2 linked regions of the Macaca mulatta genome follow. The protein of the gene in region 2 purifies or fractionates together with the protein of the main gene of each other region. This does not show direct contact. Links are inferred from orthologs where the notes say so. Each region holds a gene or a part of one and is shown on either strand. Other genes may lie near its edges. The genes, in order: PAXIP1 and KDM6A.

The links.
Region 1: the proteins of KDM6A (region 2) and PAXIP1 purify together in Homo sapiens (affinity purification with mass spectrometry; 6 studies listed by BioGRID and IntAct, with this or other methods). This does not show direct contact. The link is inferred for Macaca mulatta from reciprocal best matches to the Homo sapiens genes KDM6A and PAXIP1.

What each region holds. Positions count from the first base shown.
Region 1 is NC_133408.1:194,437,093-194,452,084, forward strand, and holds part of PAXIP1 (PAX-interacting protein 1), read right to left. Parts: intron 8,657-14,992; coding exon 7,912-8,656; intron 7,416-7,911; coding exon 7,321-7,415; intron 3,523-7,320; coding exon 3,427-3,522; intron 2,190-3,426; coding exon 2,052-2,189; intron 1,471-2,051; coding exon 1,349-1,470; intron 915-1,348; coding exon 730-914; intron 1-729.
Region 2 is NC_133426.1:44,836,727-44,852,256, forward strand, and holds the start of KDM6A (lysine-specific demethylase 6A), read left to right. Parts: upstream 1-7,188; 5' UTR 7,189-7,546; coding exon 7,547-7,707; intron 7,708-7,918; coding exon 7,919-7,982; intron 7,983-15,530. UniProt on the Homo sapiens protein: Histone demethylase that specifically demethylates 'Lys-27' of histone H3, thereby playing a central role in histone code. Demethylates trimethylated and dimethylated but not monomethylated H3 'Lys-27'.

The sequences.
Region 1 (14,992 bases), on a different chromosome or scaffold from region 2:
AAGACCACTGGCAGCAAACAACAAAGCAAATGCCATGTCTAAACTCATGGCATTCACCCTCCCACTGCTGGTTTGGTTGTCTGGATAGACATTTCTAGGCCTGTGTCCAAGTCTGGGTTTCACATAGTCTGGCCTCTAGCAGGCACAAACCTTCTTGCCTATCACAGGAGCCATGATGGCATTCAAGATGTAACAGCAAGTCAGTCAAAGCTCAACAGTGACAAAGAGGACAGACGTCAATTCTAGGAAAGCAGGGAACGTTCTGTAAGGTAGGGAGCAATTTGGACAAAAGATTAACTGGCCTGAGAGGCAAGACTATCAAAAAGCTTTCAAGCGCTCCTTCCATCTCTAAGAGTTCATCAAAAGCAAACAAAAATACTAAACCATGGCACATGCCTGTAGTCCCATCTACTTGGGAGGGTAAGGTGGGGAAATCACTCAAGCCCAGGAGATTGACACTGCAGTGAGCCATGATCACATCACTGCACTCCAACCTGGGTGACGAAGTGAGACCTTGTCTCAAAAAAACAAAAACAAAAACAAACAAACAAAAATCCTGGGCAGAGTAGGGAGAAGGAAGAAAGAGCATAGAAAGGAAATTGGAAATGAGTCAAAAACTGATTAGAAAGCTCAAGCCAGGCCTAGTAATTAGTATGAATAAAAAGATGGCAGAAGTAATGCTAATGATTTAATTTAAGTAAGATTTGCAGCATGTAGAATTTCACTTACCTAAAAGATTTAAAACTAAATGCTGGGTAGGGGCAAATGGATCCTGCAGACTGAACGCCGTGTAGCGACTATACTGAATCTGCCTCAGTGCCTCAAAGTTTCCCAGAAGAATGTCGCCAAGCCACTGGGCGTTGACACAGGGTATCCTCCACTCTTTGGCTTTTTCATACTTTAAACCAGTTGGTCTTTTATTTTTTGAGGAGAAAACATATTTATTAAATGTTAGAGATGTCAACTGTCCAAATGTACATTTATTTCCAACAAAAGGCAATAAAAAATTTCTCATAATAGAAGTGGGAGGCATATCCTAGCAAAGTTGAGGGTGACCCTGAATGACAATGAAATATACACCTCAAGGCTCAAATAGAATTACAAAACCACCTAGGAGTCTTACTTTTACCCTATTCCTGTTTTGTTAATTCAAATTTCATTAATTCAAATGTTTTCTAGGTATTTCTACTAACATTACTATATCATTGTCATACTTTGTTTAACAGACTTTGATTTCCACAAATTTCTACCACAAAACTATGGCACACTAAAAAATGCACAACTATTGAAATAGCCACTATATTGTGTGTAAATTTATGATTAAAAACGGTTTCAAAAATTTACTTACTCTTTACAGATGAGGACTGTGTTGCTGCGGCATAGGTAACCCGTATATTTGGCGCCCGCCAAATAAGCCATTAATTTTAGGTCATCTCTGTCACTATCAACAAATCCAGTCACAGAAATAATCTAAGAAAAAAAAAAAAAAAGAGAGAAAATAAGATAAACACAAAATAAACAAAAAAACAAAACCAAGTACTATTTCTTCTACTTCTTAGTTGACATATATTTTTTCACTATTTTTTTGGCATTATGGAACACATTTGGTAATATCATTTCTAAAACTTTCAAGACCAGAACTGTATTAATGGTCAAAAGGTTACACACACATCCCTCACGGGGAAGAAGAAAAAGAATGAACATGAAATGCTGAGATCATTTGGGTGGGAGGACCCACAACTATTGATTAGTTCCACCCACTAGGGGCTGCCTTTGGTACAAGACATCTGATTTATTTTTGGATTTTAAATAGTGTCAAAGACGGGAGAATCCATTAAATATCTACTATGTGCAGAACGTTGTGACTGTTACAAGGAACTAAAAGAAAGCAAGCTATTTCTTATGAGCAGGCACTTATAAAACGGGCAAAAGTACACAGAGAAGCTCTGACTCGGAAGCCAGCGCGGGAGCCTCAGGTAAGTGCTAGCAAGTGATTACTCGCCAAAGTCGAAGGATGGCTTAACAAATGGAACGCGAGGACTCTATCTTACGTGCTGTGAACACGGCTTTCCTCCTGGTGGGAAGGCCACTGGAAAGTGAAGGGCTCGGTGCGGTGGTACCATTTTCTTCTTCTTTAAGACTGTGTTTAACCAGTGCGCAGTGATACATCTCTTTCTTTCTCTTATTGCCTGTCAAACATAAAATTATAGGTGTGTTGTTTTTGTTTTTCTGCTGCAGGATTAAAGAAAATTCTATGGTTGTATAACTACAATGCCCTTTTCATTAGAAGCCCTATAAAAGAATTTCATGACATCTAGCACTTGATTGAAGTAACAAATTAAAACCATGTAGCTGGTTATTTGAAATACAACCTAAAAATGTTACTATCCATCTGCAAACAAGAGTCTACGACTGAGGACAAAAGCAACAAATTCTACGACAATCTCAAAAATAACGTTAGTGATGAGTGAAATTACACGTAGGACCACCAAAGTTATAAGTGCCCTGTAAGAACACAGAGGGCTGCACATAAGAAAAAATACAAAAAACCATCCACCTAAGATGAACCACAGGAAAACAAAAAAAGTCTCAGAAGTATTTCCACATTTTTACTGGAAAAACAGACCCTGTGAACGGCTATCCTCTTTAAGAGGGGTGTCTTGGAGGTCATTTGTCACATATACATAATCTGTCTACAATAAGCATAATTTTTTGAAAAGAAGTGAAACTTCAGAGAGCACAGGAAGGTAGTATCAGGAGAAAGCCCACATCCCGGCAGGTTTAGAAAAGCTCTGTAAGGGACCTGTCTTTGCACGCTTCTGTGCGAGTCACACACCAGTACGGAATCCTGCCTCCCTTCACTGTGCAGAGAGCAGCTGGAATGGTGACTGCAGGGAGTGTCCGCCCTTTCTTTTTTTTTTTTTTTTTTTTTTTTTTTTTTTTTTTTGAGACAGAGTCTCGCTGTCGCTCAGGCTGGAGTGCAGTGGTGAAATCTCGGCTCACTGCAACCTCTGCCTCCCGGGTTCATGCCATTGTCCTGCCTCAGCCTCCTGAGTAGTTGGGATTAGAGGTGCACACCACCATGCCCGGCTAATTTTTGTATTTTCAGTAGAGACGGGATTTCACCATGTTGGTCAGGCTGGTCTCAAACTCCTGCCCTCGTGATCTGCTCACCTCGGCCTCCTGTCCGCCCTTTCTTACCACCACCTAGGAACATCCCTTTCTATCTCCATCGCTTAAAGACAATGGTGCCCACAAAAGGTATCAATCCCACCAAAGAACTGATCACAGGAAGAAGCAATTTTCCTATCTTCAGAGGTAGAAAAAACCCCTTTCCAAAAATAACAATCAATCACCAGCATTTAAGATTGCATATAAAAAATGCCAGACCTTGCTCCTCGTCGCTGCTAAGGTTATTTTCCTTACCTGTGCATACACGCTGCTGACTTGACTCTCACAGAGAAGGTGCGTACATCGACTTGTGAACGTGGGGTCAACAGTGCCACCATGTGCCTGGATTATCTACACACAAAGACCCGACCAACGCAGTCATCAATTTCGATCACTCAGAATAGAGGAGAATTCCAATTTCAAATAAGGCAGCTATTAAAAGACTCTATCATACATTTATATCATGTATTTCCCCAAAGTATTAAGGACATGTAACAGTTCTATTTACAGACTTTTCTACCCAGCACCATATAATGAAAATGAACTCCAGTACTCTAAATTTAATCTGAATTTCCAGGAAACAAGAGAAGAAAAATGGAATGCACTCCAGGGTTTCTCAAGCTCAGCATAACTGCCACTCTGGACCAGGGGGTTCTGGTAAGTGGGGGCTGTCCTGTATAGAGGAGGATGTCTGGCAGTGTCCCCAACTTCTACCCACCCTATGCCAGCAGCAGCCCCCTAGCCGCGACTACTAAAGATCTTCAGATACTGCCAAAGGTCTATGGTGGGCAGATCCACCTCCCTCGAAAAGGGAAATAAAACACAAATCAGAATGAAATTAGTAAATCCCAACAGTTGCTTCTCAAAACAGATCTGCTTTTCTGGGAGGAGGAACTGCTCTGCATCCGGGCTGTGATGGCTGCACGACCTCGGGCATTCTTCAGAACTCAAAATATTGTACACGGAAAAAGGAGAATTTGACAGCCTATTGGGTGAAATATAAACTTTAAAAAGACCTGCCCCCTAAAAAAACCGATTGCTTCACTTCCTACTTTTAAGATGTACATGTTTATTTTTCCTCCGGCTAAGCATAAATATAGTTTAATGAGGCACAGGACAGAACCACAGGTTCCTCGCCAATCCCTGCTTTTCACTCCCCGGAAGCACGTTCAGCACTTGAAGCTGTTTCTTCCGAAAGTATGAATATATTCTACTAACACTTTACATTAGTTCCTTTTCTCTAGTTTACGTGGCCATCTACTGACCTCCTACAGTGCACACCCTTCCCCACCGTAACACACACTCTTCAAGCCTTCCTGATTTGGTTATAGCCAGACTCTTGTTTACATCAGTCATCAGTGACTTAACGCAGCCCAGCCACATGGCTTAATATGGCAGCCTAAGATGAGAGTTCCTTTCTGGTATAAACTTTGGTTTTCCCTGGTGCTAATCACTTCCTTATCCCAGCCCCCCAGAATTTGCCCTTTTCTTAGTTTTCTATATACTTTTCACTATTTCATTCCCAAACTCTATGAAAAATGTACATGTGGCGGTTTTATAGTATGTCTGCAAATTACTGTATACTCCCCTAGTCTTAAATATGGTCTAGACTTAGTCATTGAATATGGTGGAATTGACAGTGCGAGTCTCCTGTAACTTATATTTTCTCTTTCGTATGATTTTCTTAATAACATAATAACATTTTCTTTTATTTAGCTTACTTTATTGTAAGAATATGGTAATACATATACAAAATATGCATTAATTGACTGTTTATCACTGAGGCTTCTGGTTAACACCAGGCTATTAGTAATTCTGGCTTTGGGGAGTCAAAAGTGATGTATAGATCTCTGACTGCATGGGGATCAGCACCCCTAGGCTCCACACTGTTCAGGGGTCAGCCGTACATGTCTCTCCTGAATCCACCAGTGTTTTTGTTTGCTTGCTCCTCCAGGAAGTCTCTCTTCCGGTCCCAGGTCTAGTTCTCTCTACACCTACTTTCTCATCTATTAGCGTTTCCCTTCACCTCCATCCTAGGAACTCTCTTGTCATCTCTGAGTCAAATGCCTCATTTCCTGGCTACCAGGTCTCACTCTCTGCTGGCATAGTGGCTTCCTAAGGAAGAATATAACGGAGGTACATTTTCGACCATTAGTGTACAAATATCCTCCTTCCATAGTCTTAGGACTGACAGGCTCTATAGGTTATTTTAGGTTGGAAATTATTTTCCCTCAAAAATGGAAGAAGCTGCTCCGTTGCTGGCCCCCGCGCACTGGACTGGAGGCTCCCGAAATCGCCCTGACTCCTGATCTGTCCACGTTTCCCCTCCAGTGAGCTTGTCTTTGAGAGAAAACAGTTTTCTCTACCAGCATTGTGAACGTTCCCAGTTGCCTTATCACGGCTCTCCTTATATTTCTTTTCTATCTGAGGGCACATGGCCTTCAGCTGCAAAGGTATTTTCTTTCATAACGTTCTTGCCTTCATTTTCTCTGTTCCCGAGCTCCTATTTAATGTTAGACCTCTTGGATAAATCCTTAACTTGAAAACAAGACAAAAAACCCAAACTTTCCTCCACTAACTTTGGTATCTTTGAGTTTTGTCGTACTTCTCAAGACAGTTTCTCAGTGCTGCCTTCAAACACTTCTGACTTTTAAAAAATCTCTGCTGCTGTCCTTCTCAGAACTGCCCCCTTCCTCCCTCCCCCTAGCACATGCCATCCGCCTCTTTCCTCAGCCAACCACAGTCATCTCTCTGGTCACCTTCAGATTCAACCCTTTACTACTTGAAATGCACAGCTGATCACTTCACCTGCATCTAAACTCCACCACATGGCGCATCAACAAGGTCTTGGAAGACATGCCAGCCCTGGCTCCTGCCCCAACCCCTGCCTTGTGGATCCCACTGAGGCACCGTCCTTTGCACCCTCCTGTCAGTTTCCCCAATCACATGCCTTTGGCCGTGCTACACCATTTGGAAAATCCTCCCCTCTAATTCTCACTCCTACTCATCCTATAATAAGCAGTTCAGGAATCACCTCTCCCAGTAGTCTTTTCTTTTCTTTTTTTTTTTTTTTGAGACGGAGTCTGGCTTTGTTGTCCAGGCTGGAGTGCAGTGGCCGGATCTCAGCTCACTGCAAGCCCCGCCTCCCAGGTTCACGCCATTCTCCTGCCTCAGCCTCCCGAGTAGCTGGGAGTACAGGTGCCCGCCACCTCGCCCGGCTAATTTTTTTTGTATTTTTAGTAGAGACGGGGTTTCACCATGTTAGCCAGGATGGTCTCAATCTCCTGACCTCGTGATCCGCCCGTCTCGGCCTCCCAAAGTGCTGGGATTACAGGCTTGAGCCACCGCGCCCGGCCCCAGTAGTCTTTTCTTAACACATCACCCCACAACATGATGGGTGAAGGTCCTTTCTCAGGCTCTCACAACAGCCTGCATCTGCCACCCTGCCTCTGCTTAGCTGTGTGGCTGCCTCTCGCACTGCTCTTTGGTTTTCTCCGTCTGTGATTTCCCACATATTCCCTAGGTCTTGCAGCATGCTTGGCACACAGGTGGGGTTTAAGCACTAGAGATGTTTATAGTGAAGCACATTCAAGATATATGAGAGGTACATTTAAACTCAGTTTTTATAAAAAAAATTTTTTTTGACTCAGTTTTGTTTTGGGGAATGCAAGAAAAAGTATTTCTTTTCTTTAAAGGCCACCATGCAAAATAATAAATAATTAAATTAACTCCAGTTTCACAATTGGGCTGGAAGAAGTTGAGGTCCTAGAGATTCTGGGATTTTCTAACAGTTACCTCTAGAGAAAGAGAAATGACTGAGATCCACACAAATTAATGGTCCCTCTCCCAGGACACCAAAAACCTGAACTTATTCCCATCGTCCCCATTATACACATATAATTAGTGCCCCTTGGAATTTCCAAGCTGAAAAAATAAGAAGTCTACCATCTTCATCTAACAGCTGAGAAAACTGATGCCCAGAAAAGTGCTGTGCCTGAGGCCACAGGGAATGTTAATCAAAATGCCCATCACACATTTATAACACATGCAGGTGCAGCTCAGTGAATGCAGCTCAGTGAACATAGTTACATCTACATAAGAAAGAAGCATCTTCAGATACAGTCGTCCTTCCTCCAGGCACAATCTCACCCTTTTCCAGGTGGCCAGCAGTTGCTTATCAGACATCTGCTCTGGATAATCCGCAATTGCAAACACACATCCCAATAAGAAGCCTTCTTCTGGAACTAGGGTAAAATTATACAAGAAAAAGAAAATTAAAACCCTATGAATATGCTTGCACAAAAGTTAAACAGTGGTGCCTTGCAATGTGATTCTGTTATGTTAATCAGTCTTGACCATGACATATCTACCAGTAATCAGAGTGCATGGGGAATATTGCTAAAAAGATACTAGTTATCTGTCTACATCAAATAATCGTTAAAAACTAAAACCAACGTAACTTATGCCTGGCCATTAAATACCCTGAGGAGTCCCTGTGGCAGCCTAGGTGTTCTACAGGACACCAATATTCACTTCAGCATATGATGTCCCAAAGTACAAAAGAAAGCATAATTATCCCATGGTAACGATATTCTTTGTTAGGTATGAGACTCACACTCTCCATGTTGTAATAATTGTGTTGACATGAATCCTTACCCCACACTCAAACACTCTCAAAGCATTTATGTGAGTACAAGACTTTTAGGAGAGAGGGAAAAAAAAAAAATCTCCATTACTAACTCTCCACTGCTGGATCATGTCCAAAAAGCTGATGATGCTGAGGTGGTGGTGGTGGTGGCTGCTGTTGCTGCTGCTGCTGCGGGGGCTGCTGAGGTGGAACCTGATGCTGCAGCGCCTGTGACGTCTGACTCAAGTGTGGCGCCGTCTGGCTTTGCATCTGCTGCTGCTGGTGCATGCGCTGGAGCTGCTGCTGCTGGAGCTGCTGCTGCTGAATCTGCTGTTGCTGCTGCTGCTGCTGCTGGAGCAGGCTGTGTTGCTGCTGGAGCTGGGCGAGCTGCTGCTGCTGGAGCTGGTGCTGCTGCAGCTGATGGAACTGCTGCTGCAAGGCATGCTGCTGCTGAAAGGGCTGGAGCTGCTGCTGAGGGCGATGCAGCTGCTGTGGAGGATGCAACTGTTGCTGTGGAAACTGTAGCTGCTGCTGTGAAAACTGATGCGGATGGGCTTGCTGCTGCTGCTGCTGTTGCTGTGAAAACGGATGTGGTGGCTGCTGGGGGTAAGGTTGCTGAGAAATCTGCTGCTGCTGCTGCTGCTGCTGGAGCTGCATTATCTGCTGGGGCTGAAGGTGTAAAACCGGGTGCTGTTGCTGCTGCTGCTGCTGGGCCTGCTGCTGCTGCTGTAGCATGTGTGTCTCTGGAGTCACTTTCACTTGGCTAAACAGCACTGCATTGGCATTTGTATGTCCCTGCTGGCTGTGATTCACCTGCTGTTCTAAATTTTTCGTAGGTGCTGAAAGCGTCTGTAAGATCTACAAAACAAGTTAGGTGAAACATTATCAATAGTTCCTGAAACAGACGAATGATAATTTCTTAGTCATGAGAATAATACCATCCTATTTATTAACAATATTCAACCAAGCAGACACAGCAAATGACTGGAAACTTCAAAATAATACTGCATTTTCTTTTGTATTTATTTTGTAACACCAATATCATAAAGTACATTCACATATTGAGACCACCAAAATTTGAAACTACGTTAGTAAAATGGAGTAAACTAACGAATTAAAGTGACAAAGACTCAGACGGCTGATGTGCTTGCCAGAGCAAGGCGTGTGAGTCCTGTGCACAACTGGAGGCTAAGCCTCGGTGCTCCCTGCACTGTCCGCAGCGCCTCTCCACTGCCCATCGCCCACATCAGCTCCGCAGACCCTCTCCTGGCCCAAGAATGCACTGAGGAATGACAGGTGGTGAAAGCATCTGGTAATCAGGTTCAGCTTCACCTCAAACCTTCTCGCCACAGCTGCCACTTCCCATTTCCTCTTGTCTTACAGCCCAGAGTCTAGTAAAGAAAGGTTCTCAGTGAATCACCTTCCTGATGAAAGCAGCATGACCTAAGCTGTGACTCCAAGAGCCCTTCGCTCCACTGTCAACTTGCTATGTACACTGGCATTCTTCAGAAAAGGAGGCCAGCTAAGACACCACCAGAGCTGTTTCAATGGTGATGTTTCTCCCAACTAAGAACTCATCATTAGAGTTGGGAAATGATGCTTCCTCAAAAATGACTGAGTTCTTCATGTGGGACAAAAATATTTCAAGCTAGAAAAAAAGAATTCAAACCAGACTCTTTGTTTTCTAGCTCTTTCTGCTTCACAATGACAGGGAATAGGCTGAGAGTTCTGCGTACACTGAGGAGTAGGAGAAGGACGGTGACCAGCAGATGCCCACCAAGAAGAGCAAGTTATTTTTTTAATATCCTGTAGTGTACTGAATACAACAAAAGATACATGTTATACAATGAATTTTGTTCCACATGCTCAAGCAACAAAAATTTGAAACCAACTTCTTATGGTCATGGAAATCAGTAAAAATAGATTTTACTAAACTCAATCCATATAACTTTTAACCCTAATAAAAGCATTTAAAATGTAAACAAAATTCTAGGAATTTGATTTTAACACATATCAGAACTATAACAAAATCTCAAACATATTCTAACATGTATCTTTCACTTAAACAGACTCCAAATTGCAAAGGTTATATGACCTGCAAGGGTAACAGATTTTGGGTTTAGTGATAAATAATTGTGTTTAGAATTGAAATAAGTCAAAATCAAGAGCTTAGGTACAACCATCTTTAGAATCACCTTATGTATGAAACATCTCTATGAGATTCAAGACTTCAGAAACACCTGAGTGGAACTCTAAGCAGAAAAATGTCTTTTAAACAAAATAATAAGACAACTGTTTCATCTCCATATTTAAAAGTATTTTTAAAAATCCAGAAAAGAAGAGGGGAAAATTCACCCCATCACATGCCATCCCCCGGAGCCCAGCAGCATTTGGTGCTGTGCGAACACCCCCTAGAGAAGCATGCATGTGTGGGGCACCTGCTTGCCTGGTGGGCACCAGCCATGAGCCCTACACGGCAAACTGCTGGAAATAGCAGCTGCCTCTTGAGAAGGTAAACAGCAATGAGGGGTGGGAGGGGGCGGAGAGTTTAACTGTTCACTCTGTCCTTTGGTATCATTTGAATTTTTGAATTTTGTACACATATTACTTTTTTACCCTCATATGTAAACAGCCCATGGAACTCTGAGGGATAGTAAAGAAATAAATGCCCATCTGCAGGTGGACAGGGCTGAACCAGTCATTCACCACATGCTGCTCCCCGCGCCTCTACACCTGCCAACTCCAGGAGAAAGGGAGCTCAGGACCTAGACAAACACAGCAGCAGACATCAGGACAGAACAGAGGCCAGAGGCTCCTGTTTTTCAGATTGGCCACGAGGACTCAGCAGGGTCTGCTGCCTGCAGAAAGTGCTCCATCTGATCTCAGAGGGCTGAGGGAGGCCTGGGTGGGACAGGAGCTGTTTCTACTACAGGCTTCAGTTAAGATGGGTCCTCGTCCACTGCTAACCCAGCCCATTAAGGGAGAAGAACAGATGGAGATTCAGGATGAGAGTCCCGGCTAGAAATGAAGACAGCCATTGGCCTGGAACCTTTTCCACTTGAGGCAGCGAGAGGTGCAGGCCTGACTGAAGAGGAGGCATCTGCAAGACCAGCCATCGAGATGCCACCCAAAACCCCTACCACATTCATCTGATCACTTTTTCAACCATCTGATCTGCCTCTGGCTGGAAACACGTTAGTCCTGAAGAACGTATGAAAACAAATCTTAATTGCTCAATTACATAATTGTGCTATGCTACAAACAATTCTGAATGAATGTCAAGTTAAAATTTTTCCATTACAACTGTCATAATCCTCATTTATACTACATTAATACTGAGTTACTGAATTCCATATACAGAATGCATTATGATACACACCACATGGCTTCTAACCACTATAAATTTGCAATTTAAACAGGATTTTGATGGTAAGTTACGCCCCCCCAACCAACATTAGTTCAACTAAATCTGTCTCATATTTCTAAAGTTTCAAAAAGTCATTTTCCTCACATCTAGCAGTAAAATGTCCTTATGTTCTCTTGCACTGACGAAAGTCTCTCAGAAACCTCTGCGATTCTCACTAGTGACCAAATCCACTCACTCACTAGAAATGGATGGAGCCTTCTCCGTTTTCCACCGCTAGAGCACACAGCTGAGTATACCAAATTTATCTCCTAAGGACAATTTCCACTGCAGAGATGTGCTCAAACCCCTACTGCAGTCAATTCTTTCCGTTTCAAAGTAAATTATTTTGTCTCTATATCCAAATACAAACTTAAGGAAGTTTATTTATTTATATATATATTTATTTATATATTTTATAAATAAATATATATATATTTATTTATTAAAAAAAAAAAATATATATATATATATATATTTTTTTTTTTTTGAGACGGAGTCTCGCTCTGTCGCCCAGGCTGGAGTGCCGTGGCCGGATCTCAGCTCACTGCAAGCTCCGCCTCCCGGGTTTACGCCATTCTCCTGCCTCAGCCTCCCGAGTAGCTGGGACTACAGGCGCCCGCCACCGCGCCAGGCTAGTTTTTTGTATTTTTTTAGCAGAGACAGGGTTTCCCCGTGTTAGCCAGGATGGTCTCAATCTCCTGACCTCGTGATCCGCCCATCTCGGCCTCCCAAAGTGCTGGGATTACAGGCTTGAGACACCATGCCCGGCCGGAAGATTATATTTAAACCAACATCCATTGTATTTGAAAAACATAAGGCCTATAATCCCAGCACTTTGGGAGGCTGAGGTGGGCGGATCACCTGAAGTCAGGAGTTCAAGACCAGCCTGGCCAACATGGCAAAAATCCATCTCTAATAAAAATAAACAAACATTAGCCAGGCATGGTGATGGGCACCTGTAATCCCAGCTACTCAGGAGGCTGAGGCAAGAGAATCGCCTAAGCCAGGGAGGTGTAGGTTGCAGTGAGCAGAAATCGCACCACTGCACTACAGCCTGGGCGACAGAGTGAGACTCTGTCTCAAAAAACAACCAAAACATATATATTAGGAATAAGTAGTAACTAACCAGCAGTAACTGACCAACACTTTTTGATACCACAAATAAATGAAGAGCAAAGAACATTTCCTATTTCAAATGGATGACTTCTGTCCATAATTTCTCACCTAAAGGAAGTGAGAAAGTAGCATTTCTCAAAGTGCCAGAGGCTTCATCCATGATTCCTCACACCAACCCTATGAGAGATCTTTATGGCCCATGTCCCACATACCCCACTGCTGACAGGACAGGTCCACTGTGTGGTCCCAGTCTTCCTGCCAGGACTGGTCACCTCAATTCCTCCACCTCAGCAGTATCATCACTCTTCTCATGTCTGAGGTCAAAAATGCTAGAATTCTCTTTGTCTCTAGCCTATCATTCTTTATGGCCTTTACTTTCTACCTGTCACGACATCCTCTGGTTCTCAGGACGACTGTGTGATCATCACTTTGCTGCTCTGTGGCTGAGACTGTGCCCTGTGGCTTTATCCCGCCCACCTGCCTGGACATGGATGCGCAGAGACCAGGGCCAGAAACCTCAGCACTGGGCGGTGCTGGAGCTGCTCCTTCTGTGCATCTACCTTTTCCCTAAACTTGGCTGACCCCAGCGCTCTCATGGGGACCCATTTGGACAATCCCTGGCCTAGAAGCTCTTGGACCTCCTCATCTTGGTGGCCTTCTCCCCATTTCCTCAGCCACACATTCCCAACCACCCCCAAGACCTATGGTCAGTGGCAGGCCTGTTTTCCTCCAGGACCCAGCAAGGTAGCATGGAGTGGTGGGCACCGAAGCAGGCCCGAGAACCCCTCTCTAACAGGCAGCTGCTGCTCAGCTACAAGGCACTGTCACCACCCAGGACTTGAGGAATGCCAGCTAGGCATTTTATCAGGTACCCACCTCTCAAGCCAGAAACCCAATGTGTACGAAGAATGTCTTCCCTATCTATTAATCAACTATTTGAAAATCTAATCTCCTCAAACCCGATGATCTTCTCTCTCTACTCATCTTCTCCCCCACCATCTTAACTGTCTGCTGTCCAACATCTAAAGGGCATGTTTGCCTCTACCTTATTCTGGATGCCAGCCAACCGCTGCCATCATCCCAAGAATCGTGTACTACTAATACCTGCTGCTTAGGTGGAGGGGAGGTGAGACAAGGATTTTGTCTGTCCCACAGCATTTCTACACACTTTTTAAACCACTGCTATTATCACACCCAATAAAATGGTCATTGTTTGTCAACATCACCTTACACCTACGCCATATTGAATTTCCCCACTTCATCAACATCAAGCCTTTCTACTGAAAGTGGATGTGGAGAATACTGGATCCTGCTTCAGGCTGTTCCTATATGCAGAGCCATTTTTCTGGGACTTTGAACTGTTATTATTAAATGAAAGTGTCCAGAACAAGGTGAAGCGGCAGATGGGGCGTCACCATCAGATGGAACAGCCCAGCTGGCTCTCAATGGTGGGGCTCCTCAGGACCTGGTCCCAGACCCTCCTCTTGCTCTGTCCCGCCTACTATACATCCTCACATCTACCTCCATAGCTTCAGTCAGCCTTGTTTCCTCTGGTTCCACCGTGTAGCAGACAGCCCCTGCATGGATCAGATACCTCCAACCCAACACATCTGAAAAGAAACTTGGATTCTTCAAACCTGCAGCTTTCCCAGTGTCCCTTATCTCTGAAACGGCATCAACTTCCTTCACTTGCTCAGGCCAGAAAGCTGGATCCTCCCATTCATTTTTTTTCTCTCTCAAACTCCACCTCTATATCCTCTTATGGGGCCTCTCTGCTTCACTCTTGCCCCTCTACGATCCACTGTTTACACAATACCTATCAGAGTGCATCTCACCCCAACTCAAAACCCAGTGGCTTCCTTCCAAGAAAGTCCATACTCCTCACTATGGCCCTATATGGCAAGGCCCCTTTTAAATCCTTCCTAGAACTCATTCACCTTATGCAGTTCAAATTTTATTAACTTTCTTTTCTTAGAACTCAGCAAATTCATGCCCACATTTGTGTCTTCCTTTTGCCTGGGAACTCTGTGCCCTCAGTTCTTTGCATGGCCTTTCCTTGTCATTCAACCCTGATCTGAGTCACCTCCTGCCTGAGGTCCTTCTTGATCATCTCGTCTAAAACAGCCTCCTTCCCTTCACCTGCTATTATGGGACCCTGATTATTTTCTTCGAAACACCTTTCACCATCAACAGTGCGTCTGTTCATATTTCTCCTCTTACTGTATGTCTTCTCTACCTAAATTGGTTTTCTTATTTACAATTTTATCTCCAGTGCCCAGAAAAATGCAAAGAGTGGCCAATATACCACCTCAACTACCTTCTTTCTGTCTTAAATAGAAATATATCTACTTAAAACTTTTAAGGCCATGCATGGTGGCTCACACCTGTAATCCCAGCATTCCGGGAGGCCGAGGTGGGTGGATGACTAGAAATCAAGAGTTCAAGACCAGCCTGGCCAACATGGTGAAACCCTGTCTCTACTAAAAATACAAAAAAAAAAAAAAAAAAAAATTAGCCAGGCATGGTGGCGCATGCCTGTGATCCCAGCTACTCGGGAGGCTGAGGCAGGAGAATCATTTGAACCCGGGAGGCAGAGGTTGCAGTGTGCTGAGATCATACCACTGCACTCCAGCCTGGGCGACAGAGTGAGACTCCATCTCAAAAAAATCAAG
Region 2 (15,530 bases):
AAAAAAAAAAAAAAAAAAGAGTAGCTTAATTACAAGGATGATGTGAATTTTGGACGTTTTCAGCTATTATTTCTTGACGTACTTTTTTTGGCTATGCCCAATTTCTCCATTTCTCCTCTCCTTCTGTGACTTGATGACGTAAGTGTTGCATGTTTTGTTACAGTGCCACAGATCCTTGAGGCTCTATTTATTTTTTCAGTATATTCTCTCTCTGTTGTTCAGATTGGGTATGTCCTTTTTTTTTTTTTTTTTTGAGACAGGGTCTTACTGTCACCCAGTCTGGAGTGCAATGGCCCAATCTCGGCTCGCTGCAACCTCTGCCTCCCGGGTTCAAGCAATTCTCCTGCCGCAGTCTCCTGAGTAGCTGGGATTACAGGTATGTGCCACCATGCCCGGCTAATTTTTGTATTTTTACAAAATACAAAAAATTGCAGGAGTGTGCTATCATGCGCAGCTAAGTTTTGTATTTTTAGTAGAGACAGGGATTTACCATGTTGGCCAGGCTGGTCTCGATCTCCTGACCTCAGGTGATCCTTTCGCCTGGTCTCCCAAATTCCTGGGATTACAGGCGTGAGCCACCATGCCCAGCCCTTGTTAGGGGGTTTCACGATGTTGGCCAGGCTAGTCTTGAACTCCTGACCTCAGGTGATCTACCCGCCTCCGCCTCCCAAAGTGTTGAGATTACAGGCGTGAGCCACCCTGCTCAGCCAGGTATTTCCTATTGTTCTGTCTTGAGGTTCATGGATTCTTTCCTCTGTTCCCACTGTTCTGCTATTTAACCCATATGTGATGTTTATTTTGATCATTCTATTTTTTCGTTCTAAAATTTTCATTTGATTCCATGGGTGCAGTCTTTTGCCCCCGTCAGCCACATGAGAATAGGCCTTGAGCCTGGAACACTTCCTTACCGAGGGATGGAGAGTTCTCACAGCCTGTAATAGACTTGTTACCTTGTGTGGGAATATCTGCCTTTGTTTTAGACTCAATATGTGCTCCTTTGTTTCGCTTAAATGTGTGTGTCACATGGCATCTGGGCCACACCGCTAGCATATCTGTCCCCTGCAGGGAGCAGATGAGATCTTCCTGCTGCAGCACAAGAGGAGTGTGTTGGCTGTTGGAGGGACCTGTTGGCCAGGGGGGACTAATGTCCACTACTGAAGCCGGTCTTGCTGTGTGTCTTCTCTATGTGAGTAAAGTTATTCTACCTGGGGCTTGGCTGAATTATATATATTTTCCTTGGAGATTCTGGTACCAAGATGCAGTGGGCAGAAGTGCTTGCACATCTCCTCCTGACAATAGGCCACAGATGCCACTTGCTCAACAATTCTTCTCTGTATCATCTTTTTTTTTTTTTTTTTTTTTTTCTGAAACTTCCTCTTGCTCTGCTGAGGTCTTTTAGTTTTTTTGTTTGTTTTTGTTTTTGAGACAGTCTCACTCTGTTGTCCAGGCTGGAGTGCAGTGGCATGATCTTGGCTAACTGCAAGCTCTGCCTCCCAGGTTTAAGCAATTCTCCTGCTTTAGCCTCCCAAGTAGTAGCTGGGATTGCAGGAGTGCGCAGCTAATTTTTGTATTTTTAGTAGAGACAGGGATTTACCATGTTGGCCAGGCTGGTCTTGATATCCTGACCTCAGGTGATCCTTCCGCCTGGACTCCCAAATTGCTGGGATTACAGGCATGAGCCACCATGCCCAGCCCTTGTTAGATAATTTAAACATGTGATTCACTTTAGTGTTTGCATCTGTTGACCTTTTCTCATTTGAAATTATCCTGGGTCTTGCTACGATGAGTAATTTTTTGATTGAAACCTGGATATTTTGGGCAGTGTTCTGAGACTCTAGTTTTTTTTTTGAGACAGAGTTTCACTCTGTTGCCCAGGCTGGAGTGCAATGGCACAATCTTGGCTCACTGCCTCACTGCAACCTCCGCCTCTGGGGTTCAAGCGATTCTCCTGCCTCAGCCTCCCAAGTAGCTGGGATTATAGGCATGCGCCACCACGCCTAGCTAAGTTTTTTTTGTATTCAGTAGAGACAGGGTTTTACCATGTTGGTCAGGCTGGTCTCCAACTCTGGGCCTCAGTTGATCCACCTGCCTTCACCTCCCAAAGTGCTGGGATTACAGGTATGAGCCACCACGCCCAGCCAGGACTCTAGATCTTTTTAAAATCTTGTATTTTAGCAGGCCTCCTCTGACATTACTCTGGTGGGGGGAAAGGGGGCACTCTCTTGTTACTGCCAGGTGTGGGTGGAAGTCCAGATTTCCCACTCAATCTTGGTTGACAATGAGTGTAATGTCTCCTTGTTATTGCTTTGTGGGGATGGGAGTTCTGGCTCTCTGCTAGGCCTAGATTGAGGCCTCCATTCACCCTAGCTGGGCGCTGTAGGAGTCCCTCATTATTGCTCCCTACATTGCTTCCCCTCCACTGATACAATGCGGGGTGGTAGTATACCACTGGGCAGTGATGAAAGTTTTGACGACTCTGACATTAATTCAGCAGGGAGGGGTACTGACCCCTCATAACTGCTGGGTGGAAGTCCAGGCTGCCTACTGCAGTTGTGTGTGTGTGTTGTGGGGCGGGGGTGGGATGTGAGGTGCCTCATTACAGCCTGGTGAAGGTAGGAGTCCAGGCATCTCCTAGCAGTCCTAGCTCTATTCTGACAACTGAAGTTTTCATAATAACTGAAAGTCCATTTATACTTGGCTCCCTGTCTCTGCTCAAACGTAACCCTATATTTATTTTTGTCATTTTTGTGTTCTGGCTTCAGTTGGATAGTCTCTACGACAATGGTAAGTAAGTATGGGAAGAACTGGTAAATTTTTTTGAACCTATTTTTGATTGTGACATTTATGTATAGTTCTGTTGATAAGATTAGATAAACTATGACTCTGTTATGTGAGTTTTTATTATGTGTAAAGGTTATATGGCACTGACATTATAAACACACTAGATATTCCTAAGTGCTTCAGGTTAAATATTATGTTGTTTAAAAGAAAGTCACATTATTTTCCTATAACTTAAATGGGTTCCTCCTCTAATTAGTTGATGGTACTTACATAAATATTAACATAATACTGCTACAAATTATGTACTTAGTCTGTAATCTGACTTAGCTAGATTTTATATAATTTTATAATATTGATTTATCTATACATATATTAGTCGTATTAATTTGCTAAATTCAGATTAAACTTTCCCCAGCTCCTGGTGTATTTACAATTATGAAAAAGAATCAGTACTAAATGATATAAGGATTAATTTTTTTTTTTTTTTGAGATGGAGTCTTGCTCTGTTGCCCAGGCTGGAGTACAATGGCGTGATCTTGGCTCACTGCAACCTATGCTTCCCATGTTCAAGCGATTCTCCTGCGTCAGCCTCCCAAGTAGCTGGGATTACAGGCATGTACCACCACGCTTGGCTAATTTTTGTATTTTTAGTAGAGACGGGGTTTCACCATGTTGGCCAGGCTGGTCTGGAGCTAGTGACTTCAGGTGATCTGCTCACCTCGGCCTCCCAAAGTGCTGGGGTTATAGGCGTGAGCCACCGTGCCTGGCTTATAAGGCCGAAGTTTAGAATAAATGAGAGATGTAGCAATACCGGGGTTATATGCCTCAATTATAAAGTACTTAGGACTGCTTATGTGTTGGGCTTATAGTGAGGTTGTGGAGGGATAAGGAGGAAGTGATGGGTAGAGTAATAATAAATTTAGAACCCAGATTGTGAAGGCAAGAGAAAATTTTGGAAATTCCAGCCTTCCTATTTTATTGAGGTTTTTGAATCTATATTATGTGTCTGGCACTTTACCTACCTTATGGCATCTAAAATAATGTTATAAAGTGGCTGTATTTTCTCTTTTTCAGAGATGAGAGAACTGAAGCTCAAATTAGACTAAGTTGTTCAAGTCTGCCTAGCTATCAAGTGGTAGAGGTAGGATCTGAACCTAGATCTGTATGATTCTATGATTCATGCTCCTTTGGCTGCACTACTCTGCCTTCCAGTGGGGTTTACAGATTCACTTTTCATGGAAATTTATTATAAAATCATTTATTGTATGTCCCTATTTCTCTCTCCAGTTAAACATCTAAACCTTATAGGCTCCATATCTATTTTACATACATTTGACAGATAACACACTATGTAACATGTGTATGATGCAAGGACTTATGTTACCATATGAAATTTGTCCCATGCTTGATGATGGAGGATAGATCTTTGCAGTTGAAATAGACATAGAACACTGGCCTAGAGGACAGGTAACTTTCTCAAGGTCACACAGCCTGTGTAGAGCAAGGATTCGAATCCAGGTCTGCCTCACTCCAACTCCCACCCATTGCATCCACTCCTGGCTGTTCTGCTATTACATAGTAATAGCGGAAAGGTGTTGAGGAGTGGAGGGTGGGTAGCCTTTTTTTTTTTTTTTTTTTTGAGACGGAATCTCGCTCTGTCACCCAGGCTGGAGTGCAGTGGTGTCTCGCTCTGGCACCCACGCTGGAGTGCAGTGGTGCGATCTCGGCTCACTGCAAACGCCACCTCCCGGGTTCGCGCCATTCTCCTGCCTCAGCCTCCCGAGTAGCTGGGACTGCAGGCGACCGCCACCATGTCCGGCTAATTTTTTGTATTTTTAGTAGAGATGGGGTTTCACTGTGTTAGCCAGGATGGTCTCCATCTCCTAACCTCGTGATCCGCCTTGGCCTTCCAAAGTGCTGGGATTACAGGAGTGAGTCACTGCGCCCGGCCCCCTTTTTTTTTTTTTGAGACGGAGTCTCACTGTCGCCCAGGCTGGAGTGCAGTGGCACAATCTCAGCTCACTGCAAGCTCCGCCTCCCGGGTTCACACCATTCTCCTGCCCCAGACTCCCGATTAACTACGGGCGCCCACCACCACGGCCCGCTAATTGTTTGCATTTTTAGTGGAGACGGGGTTTCACTGTGTTAGCCAGGATGGTCTCGATCTCCTGACCTCGTGATCCACCCGCCTCGGCTTCCCAAAGCGCTGCTGGGATTACAGGCGTGAGCCACCACGCCCGGCTGCTTTTTTTTTTTGAGATGGGGTCTCACTCTGTCCCCCAGGCTAGAGTACAGTGGCACAATCACGGCTCATTGTAACCTCCACCTCCCGAGTTCAAGCGATTCTTTTGCCTCAGCCTCCCAAGTAGCTGGGACTACAGGCGTGTGCCACCTCGGCTGATTTTGTTTTTTGTATTTTTAGTAGGGATGGGGTTTCACCATATTGGCCAGGCTGCCCTCGAACTCCTGACCTCATGATCCACCTGCCTCGGCCTCCCAAAGTGCTGGGATTACAGGCGTGAGCCACCGAGCTTGGCAGGGATTGGGTAACTTTATAATCCTTGAAAAGGACCTGAGTCCGGAACTGCCAACTTCAGGGAGATAGTCAAATACCAGCAAAATGTCTATCTGTGTTTGTGCAAGTGTGTGTGTTTGTGTGTGTGTGTGTGTGTGAGAGAGAGAGTGTGCGAGCGAATTAGTGGGGTCAAAATTTCCTTGGCTTTGAATGTCACCATTTGCGACCAAGTTAACAATGTATTAATTTAGACGTAGAAAAGATTTGGCCCTTTGTACACACTCATTCAAGCAAAATGGAGCATCATAAAGGGAAAGGTGTTTCAGAGGAAGTAATTAAACATTAACTATAATCTATACAAAACTACAGTTTGTTCGTCTAGTTACTAGTCTCAGGGGAACAATTTAAAACTGTGCAAAATCAGTTGGGATTCCCATAGCTTCCCGCTGAATACTGGTAGGAATTACTGGGTCAGCACTGAATTGTCTTTGTCATATTTTGAAATCCAAGTTTAAATATATCATTTTTATTGGTTACAGGTGGAAAACCTATTGAAAATATACAAGACTCCGTTTATAAAGAGAATCGTCTTTACGTGTCCATTAATTTTTTCCTATCCCTGTTATGACATACAGCTTAGTAAATAAATTTGCCTTTTGAGAAGAGTAGTCGAAAGGCCTGTTTTCTTTTTTTTTTCCACTTATACTAAAGATTAAAAGCCAGACTACAGCCTTTCCCCTGCACCTGAGAGACAGAACAAAGTGTTACTGTTGTCTAGGGGTTACAAACCTGCAGGTTTTGGGGGATAGAAAGGCTTTCCTGGGCCACCAGCTGTGATGAGGATTTAATTATATCTTCTCTCAGGTCTGTCCACAAGCAGTCCCTACTTTTGTAAGAAGGCTCCACTGAAATCACGGCAATAGAACCCAACATTCTGCAGATCCCGCTTAACAATTTCTCATTGCTTTTTCTTGTAAGACTGTAATGAACTACTGATAAGACACAGGGTAAACACAGCACGAAAATCTGGCCCCAAAGTGCCGCCAACAGACAGACCTTTGGCGGTGGGGAGCCACGGTAGGCAAGCCAGGCCCCGCGGGCGACTCTTCATTCCCTCTGGCCTGGGGCGTATGGGTGGGGGTCAGGGGAGCCTTTCCCCCTTCACTTTCGGCGCGGGTGAGGTGGTCGGGGCTGCCAGCGTAGGTCTGGCCTAGGGCGGCACCCGGACCGCGGGGCACCGGGCCGGCAGCCGCTCCCCAAGCGCACTCCTCGCGGAGGCCATTATTTCCAGCAGTGCCAAAGTCTGAGCCTTCTTCGGAGGGCAGAGGTAGAGGGCCGTGTACCGCCTCCCGGCTACGCGACCTGTACCAGGCCCTGTGGGGTCCCGGGACCCCTGGAGCGCGCGCGGGACGGCCGGAGCCGCGGTCTGGGCACATCCCAGAGCTCCCAGGCAGGCAAAGGCCGTCCTTGGCATCTTCGCCCGCCGCTCGCGCCCGCCGCGGACGCTGCCGGACCTCGCCCTTCCCCACCACTCCCCTCCCCCTCCAAAGCCTGCCGTGGTTCCCGAGGTGACACGGCCCGGACCCTCCATTCTCTGCCCCAGTGTATTTAACCAGCACAACCTAACAGGAAGCTCCCTCTCGGTGACAACCCTTCCCCCGACAGACGCGCCCAGCAGCCAACCACCGGCCAGAATTGGCCTGCGTCCCGCTCCCCTCTCGGTGGCGGCCTCGGTGGGCGGGGCTCGGGCAGCTAGCAAGTTAAGTGGAGCCACGGCTGACGTGAGTCAACAAAGGTCACGTGAGTCGTGCGGGCCGCGCCGATTGGTGGCGCCAGTCGGGCGGGGAGGGGGGGTCACGGCGGCGGCGTGGGGTTCGCTGTGTGACACAATTACAACAACTTTGTGCTGGTGCCGGGGAAGTTTGTGTCTCCAACGAATCCCCCCAGTGCTCCCCAGCCCTGCGCGCTCCGGCCGTTCCCGCCGTCCCCGCCCGTGGCTGCCCCTTGCCCAACCCCGCGATGTGACCCTACAGCCGAAAGCCGCCGCTGCCGACCCGGGGGCTTCGCAGCCCCTGCCGCCGCCGCCTTCACCGCCGCCGCGTTGGGATTTTTCGTCGCCGCCGCCCGCGGCGGAGGAGGAGGCGGCGATAAAGTTGGTGTGCTGGTCCCGCGCGCAGATTGGGGGCGTCATTGCGGGCCCCGGTCCGAGGGGGGGTGTCGGCGTTGGAGTTGTGAATTCGCTGCGTTTCCATGAAATCCTGCGGAGTGTCGCTCGCTACCGCCGCCGCTGCCGCCGCCGCTTTCGGTGATGAGGAAAAGAAAATGGCGGCGGGAAAAGCGAGCGGCGAGAGCGAGGAGGCGTCCCCCAGCCTGACAGCCGAGGAGAGGGAGGCGCTCGGCGGACTGGACAGGTACGGGCCGCCGTCACTCGCCCGGTCGGCTCCGGACGGGCAGTAGCCGCTCTCCCGGGAGGCCCGAGCGCGGCTTGTCTCTGGCGGCGGCGGGGCGGGCACCTCGGTTTGGCGCTCTTCGCGCCGCCTCCGCCGGGGCCTCGGGCTCGGGCAGGGACGGGTCGGTGGCGTTCCCGGAGCGTTAACGAGTAGCCTGTGTCTCTCCCCACAGCCGCCTCTTCGGGTTCGTGAGGTTTCATGAAGATGGCGCCAGGACGAAGGCCCTACTGGGCAAGGTAAGGCAGCTGCGAGTCGGAGCGCGGACACCGTCTCCCCGGCCGGCGCCGCGCTCGCCCCGGGCCCCGCGGCCGGGTCTGCGCTCATTGTGGCCGCGGACGATGGTCGAGGGGCTTCCGGAAAACTATTTCCTGCCTCTGCTCTCCCCCCACCCACGGGTACCCAGCTTGCTCCCTTGCTAAATTGCTCTTTTCCTCTTGTAGCTGGAGGAACAGAGACGGGATCGCTTTGGGGCCGGGCTCAACTGGGTCGACAAAACTGCCTGCTATTTTACAGCTTTTTGGGGATAGGCCGATGATCTTCGAGGTGCATGTTTAGAGTCAAGGGATCGTGAATGTGTTCAGATTTCCCCCAATTCCGGACTTCACTTGCCTCTCACGGGTTTAAAGAAATTCTTTTCCTTCAAGCAGGCTGTTCGTGATGCCTACTGCTAACCAAATGTTTTAGGCTTTCTTGTGTCCCCGCTCCCAGAAGGGGGAAGTTTCACGGAGTTTAGGTCGGTGAAGAGTTTGCATTGGGCTGTTGACATGTATCTCGATCGCAATGTGTGTTACCTGAAGTTAGGTGACTTGTTTACTTTTTGGGTCTTTTTGGCATAGAAATACCGTAGTTATTTGTAAATGTGTTCTCTTCCTGGAGCCTCATTTCCTGCGTGTCTGACAGGGGAGACTGGGGAGGATTCGGGGTGTAGTCTCTGTTTATTTGTGTGGAAAGTTGTTGGCACTGTCATTTAGTTAAGTAATGGCTGCTCCTATCGGCCCAAGATGGCGGGACAGGGTGGGAGGAGAAAGTGAAGGGGGGGGGGTTTGGGGGAGGGAGTAGAGGTAAACATGGAAATAAATAGTAGCCGTGAATAAGCCTTTCCTTCGGAGTGTGTAGCTCAGTGGTGTTTAAAAAAAAATTACCCAAGATTATTTGCATATAGAATTCTTGTACCTTTCACAAGCTTGGAAGCAGCATGCATAAGCCTGGTAAATGCTTATCAACCTGTAGCACATTTAGTTACCCATCCTTAAGCTATTGAACAAAGGCTGGAGTCTCAGTCTCTAGGCATCAATTTATATTTCCTGACCAAAATCTGATTGCAATGATATTTGAATACTTTCTTCGTAATTGGGACCGTGAAAGTTGGAGTGTGTGCTATGGGTATTGCATCCGTTAGACATTTTCTTTTCTAGCTGAAATCATAGCTTTGCATTTGACACCTAGCTTTATTGTTACAGTTGAGACGGAAGTTTGAAGTAAGTCCAACATTTTATTCTTAAGTTGATTTTTTTGTTGTTCTGAATTTTTGTCTGTAGCTTGGTTTAGCAGAGTCATCAATTCTTTTTTATCTGTAATTACAAATTTGTTTTTATTTCCAAGTAATTATAAAGAGTTTTATTGCATATAATGATCAGAAAACTAAATGGAAATAATGCTTTTCAGTAAGCCCGGCCCCTTTGACCGATACAGAAAACTTGAATTAAACTTTGACTACATAGGTATTAATTGGCTTCATTGCAATTATTGTTGTAAAAATGAACAGTGACTAGCTCTGGAAAGATTTAAGCGTCAGTAATTGTTGGTCTCCTGCCTTAAAAGTTTTTTTTCCCAATTTGAGTATTTAAAGTATTTTATTTAAAAATATTTGACTGCTGTCAAAGTTGTCATTACAAAAGATTAAACATGATTTAAATTCAAAGAGCATTATTTTGTTTTGGAGGGATTATTGCTGGTCTAACATGGATTGATAAAATTGCTTGCAAAGATAATTCACTTGGAAAAGTTTGGCCAAATCGATTGCTTTTGCTTATGGTGATGAAAAAATAAATGGAATCCGATGTTTTATGTTGAGAATGTGTAAAATGCTAGTTGATTTTATGTCTTAGAATGCTCATATTCAGATAGATTCACGGTGAATAGTGCTTAACATTGGATTTCAGATTGTAATATTAAACTCTGCAGTTATTATGCACTAACGAGTTTAAATTTTAAAAAATAACCATTTTCAAATATTTTTGGCAAGTTGTGCATTACTTGATGTTTGAATGCATGCTAAAAAAGAAAAACTAGTGAAGCTTCACTATGTTTGGGGGCTTCATGATATATGGGGTGATTTGATGAATGATTAAGTAGTTTGTTAAACTAAAGAAAAAAAAATCTTCATTGCTTCAGACTCAGTGCTTGTGAGGTCCTACCTGCTTAGGACAAGATTCATCAGCCTTAACATTAAAATAAAACATTCTCTGATATGTGCTTGCAACCGCATATAGTTCTTGATTGCATCTTTGTGAGTCTGAACATACCAGTGGGGTGTGTAATGTAAAGCTTGACATTATATAACTTCGCACCCTCTGTTTGAATTGGATTCTGAATGAAGTGAATGAGCTTGAGTCCTGCTATAGGAAGTATTGAATTATTTAGTTTCATCCTTCTTTTAACAGTCCTCGAAGCAGTATTTTTTTGTGGAATGTTGAGCTATGTTGGTTTCACAATTCAGAATTCTTATTCTCTGAAAGTCTTAAGAGTTGGTTTTTCTTTACTGGGCAGGTTTAGGCTACTTTCCTGAGGGCAGATAATGGAATTGAATAACTCCCAGAATTACCTTTTTAGCTTTGATTTTTGTCCTGCCATGCCCCCCCCCCCGCCCCCGCCCCAATTTAGTCTGCATTTTGTATAACTTTTTTCCTTTCTGGCAGAAATTTAGCTATTACTACTTGTTTTCAAAAATTCTTGTTCCTATGTATGTTATTGGATTTTCTTTCAAGTTTTTAAAATTCACATTTGTATGTTAAAAAAACTGTTGACCTAAAAGCTTTAGAAAGTTGAAAGCATTAAATATGAGTCTCTTACTTGCCCCTTAACATATATACGTATATATACACAAATTACGTATGTATATGCATATGCGTATACACATATGTGAATATGTATATACATATGTGTATACGCATATACATATATACACATGCACACATGTGCACACACGTATATACATATATACACATACATATGTGTACATACGCATATACGTATATACACACATGCATGCATATGTAATATGCATATACATATACACACATGCATACATATATAATATATACATATGTAATACATGTATGTATAGTATGCACTTGTACATACGTGCATATGTAGATATGTATATGTGTACACATGCACATGTATATACATATACATATCTACATATGCATGTATTTATATTGTATGTATATGTGTATGTGTATATGTATGCGTATGTATTTATACATGTGCTTTGATACATTCATGTATATATGTATATGTATACATACGTATACATACATACATGTATATATGTATACACATGTGTATGTATAGATATATATACATATACGTATATGTATGCGTTTGTACATATGTGTACGTATGCGTATGTGTACGTATGTACATATGTATATGTGTATTCCTTTTTCCAGGTGTGCAGATAGTTTATCCAGACCACTGATTTCTCATCGTCTCCCAAATGTGTTTGTCAGATTCAGTTATATTAGAGTCATTGAAATAATTTTTTGTTTGTAGGCTGGCCATTTGATATACAATGCCTGGGGTTTTGGATTAAAAAATAAAGTAGTTAATAATATTATTATTTTTTGGTAATGTTTTTAAGGTTGTGAACAGCTAGAGCCTGCGTAATTAGAGTTCTTGTAATATAGCGTGATCTTGAACAGTTTGCTCTTGAATGCTGACCCTTAATCTTCTGGTAATGTAATAATTCAAGATTCTTCTTTTTAAAATTTCAGTGGAGTTATTGAAAAGTAAGCAAAATATTTTAACATAAATTAACTTGTGACTTTTTTAGTACAGTTTTGAAAACCTTTTGGGTTAATTTTTTTAAGTAGGGTAAGGATTTGAGTTAGAGTATATAGGAATATATACCATAAATGTAAGTTTAAATATAGTAGTACTATCAAGTATAGTTATAGTAATAATGCTTGGGGACTGGGGAATCTTATCTGTGTCAGGGAACTATTGCTAAAATACTTACACAGTTTTGACCAAAGTATCTTATTTTTAAGTTTTTCTTAAATACTCTTACTGAACTTTTTTTGGTAATTCTGTTAGTAGAAAGATTATACAAAATACTTAGAAGTTATAGATTGTATATCACTTAAAAATGTATGTGCTTTTTTTCCCTAGGACATATTAGCATTAAAACAGTTGGTGTTTTAAATTTTTTTGATAATAGAAGTAGTAGTTTGAGATCCATTGAAACATATTTTCTTAAATTTGGTTTGCTGGCATGTTTAGTGGGGGAAATTATTAGGTCAGTTCTAGAGGTGGCTTTTTTAAACTGTAATATTTGGATGTTGGTTAAAAACCTTCTCATTTATGTGTGCTTTTTGTTTGCTGGCGCTTAAAGGGATACAGGTGGAGTATCCTTTATCCAAAATGCTTGGAACCAGATGTGTTTCGGATTTGGGATTTTTTTGGATTTCAGAATATTTGCAGAATACATACCAGTTGAGCATCCCTAATCCGAAAATCTGAATTCCAAAATGCTCCAATGAGCGTTTCCTTTGAGTGTCATGTTGGTACTCAGCAAGTTTTAGATTTTGGATTTTCAGATTGGGGATGCTCAACCTGTAAATTCATTTCCAGTGCCAAAGATGGCTAGTGTTTTGGTTAGAAAAGTCATGAGACCCTGTCTCCAAAAAAAAAAAAAAGAAAGAAAACCCAAAAAGAAAGTAACCATAGAAATAATGTCATGCTTTGTATTTGAAAATTATGTCTTCAATTTAATATGTTTTAAAGAGTTTTCTAGTTTGGAAGATTGTCTTCGGAACACTTGTAGTCTTAATTTTTTACGTGGACAAAGTCTTATATACTTGATATTTCCTAAAGTTTTGATATGTCCCTGGTAATAAAGGTATACTAAGATTATAGAACATGTTTGCATATTTGGGCACAAATTAGAACTGTAGCAATACATAAACAAGCACTTTTAAAGTTCTGGTTTTCTTTTTCAGTGAATAATTCTTTCTGTTGAATCAATTACAAATTGAAATAGCTAGAGAGCATTTGACGGCCACCTCTAGATACTTTTTTTGTTTTGTTTTGTTTTGTTTTGAGATGGAGTCTGGCTCTGTTGCCCAGGCTGGAGTGCAGTGACCGGATCTCGGCTCACTGCAAGCTCTGCCTCCCGCGTTTACGCCGTTCTCCTGTCTCAGCCTCCCGAGTAGCTGGGACTACAGGCGCCCGCCACCTCGCCCGGCTAGTTCTTTTGTATTTTTTAGTAGAGACGGGGTTTCACCGTATTAGCCAGGATGGTCTCGATCTCCTGACCTCGTGATCCACCCGGCTCGGCCTCCCAAAGTTCTGGGATTACAGGCTTGAGCCACCGCGCCCGGCCACTTTTTTTTTTTTTTTTTTTTAAATTTGAGACACAGTCTTGCACTATCCCCAGGCTGGAGCGCAGTAGAGTGATCTCGGCTCACTGCAACCTCGGCATCCCAGGTTCAAGTGATTCTTAGGCCTCAGCCTCCCGAGTAGCTGGGATTACAGGTGCCTGCCACCACACCCGGCTAATTTTTGTGTTTTTAGTAAAGGTGGGGTTTCACCATGTTGGGCAGGCTGGTCTCAAACTCTTGACCTCATGTGATCCGCCCGCCGTGGCCTCCTAAAGTGCTGGCATTACAGGTGTGAGCCACCACACCTGGCCAGTATCTTAAGTTGTTAAGGAAAACTGCTTGAGAGATGAATTTTTGTGACTTAGGTGAAGTGATGGGTCATGCACTTTAAACCAAAATGAAAGTTCATTGCTTGGCTAGCTGCAGAGTAAGTCTTACTCTGACTTAAATTATGTAACATTTAGTTTTTGTTTACATAGTACGAATGTTCTGCATCTTTGAAAGGATTTCTGTTAAGTTTATTTTTACTTTGAAATTCATTGTGATACTTTGAACTCTTTGAAATTGATGTTAATGACTGATAACACTGCATTATTAATAATATTTTTGAAATGTGTTATCTAGAGAGCTAATTTATGTTAAAACACCACCAGTTTGTCTAAGAACTGAAATGGTGGTTAGGCTGTTTAGGACTCACATGTATTATTTGTGGATTAGTTAATTAATGAAGTTTATTTAATGAGTGCGTAATTGACAGGCTTAAGTACTTATATTGAAACTTCACATATAATTTTATCAGTTTTCCACATTGGTTTGTAAATTATGACAGTAAATTAAAACAGTGTATTAATGTACACTAAGTGCACGTCTTCTATGCAGTTAGTATGAAGATAACAGATATTTCTTGCTCGTGTTGAACTTAAGTTCTTTGAGAGGGGTGAAATAAGTTTAAGGATGACTAACACAGGAACATCTTTGGGAGAAGAAAAATGTGAAATACTCTGAAAGTTTATGAGAAAGGTAAATTTAACAATTCACAAGTTAGAATGTCTTTTAAAGATGGGGATTGTTTGTTGATTGTGTTTCTTGGAGATGATATTTCTTGATTTAGATGTTAGCAAGGCGTCTTATAATTCTGTTTAGGAAAACATGATTTAAAAATCACATTTTGGCCGGGCGCGGTGGCTCACGCCTGTAATCCCAGCACTTTGGGAGGCCGAGGCGGGCGGATCACAAGGTCAGGAGATCGAGACCACGGTGAAACCCCGTCTCTACTAAAAATTACAAAAAATAAGCCGGGCGCGGTTGTGGGCGCCTGTAGTCCCAGCTACTCGGGAGGCTGAGGCAGGAGAATGGCGTGAACCCGGGAGGCGGAGCTTGCAGTGAGCCGAGATCGCGCCACTGCACTCCAGCCTGGGCTGGGCGACACAGCGAGACTCCGTCTCAAAAAAAAAAAAAAAAAAAAAAAAAAATCACATTTTAAGGCTGGATGCGGTGGCTCATACCTGTAACCCCAGCACTTTGGGAGGCCAAGGTGGGCGGATCACTTGAGGTCAGGAGTTTGAGACCAGCCTGACCAATATGGTGAAACCATGTCTCTACTAAAAATACAAAAATTAGCTGGGCGTGGTGGTGGGCACTGGTAGCCCCAGCTACTCGGGAGGCTGAGACAGGAGAATTGCTTGAACCCGGGAGGCAGAGGTTGCAGTGAGCCGAGATGGTGCAACTGCACTCCAGCCTGGGTGACAGAGTGAGACTCCGTCTCAAAAAAAAAAAAAAAAAAAAATCACATTTTAGCTTTTAGCAGATGTTCAAAGGATGATCTGCTGTGTGTTCTGTCCTTCTTTGATTTCATTCTGTAGTAATGTTTACCTTGTTATGAGTTCTTGAGATTCTTAAATGAGTGTTCATGGGTCAATTTAAATTCTCTGACAGTTTGGAAGGACACTCAAGAAGTACTTAATGGTCATCTTGGAGTACAAGACACTTTTGGGGTGAGAAGGAGGGGAGATTTTTTTTTTTTTTTTTTTTTTTTGAGACGGAGTCTCACGCTGTTGCCCAGGCTGGAGTGCAGTGGCGCGATCTCGGCTCACTGCAAGCTCCGCCTCCCGGGTTCCCGCCTTTCTCCTGCCTCAGCCTCCTGAGTAGCTGGGACTACAGGCGCCCGCCACCGCGCCC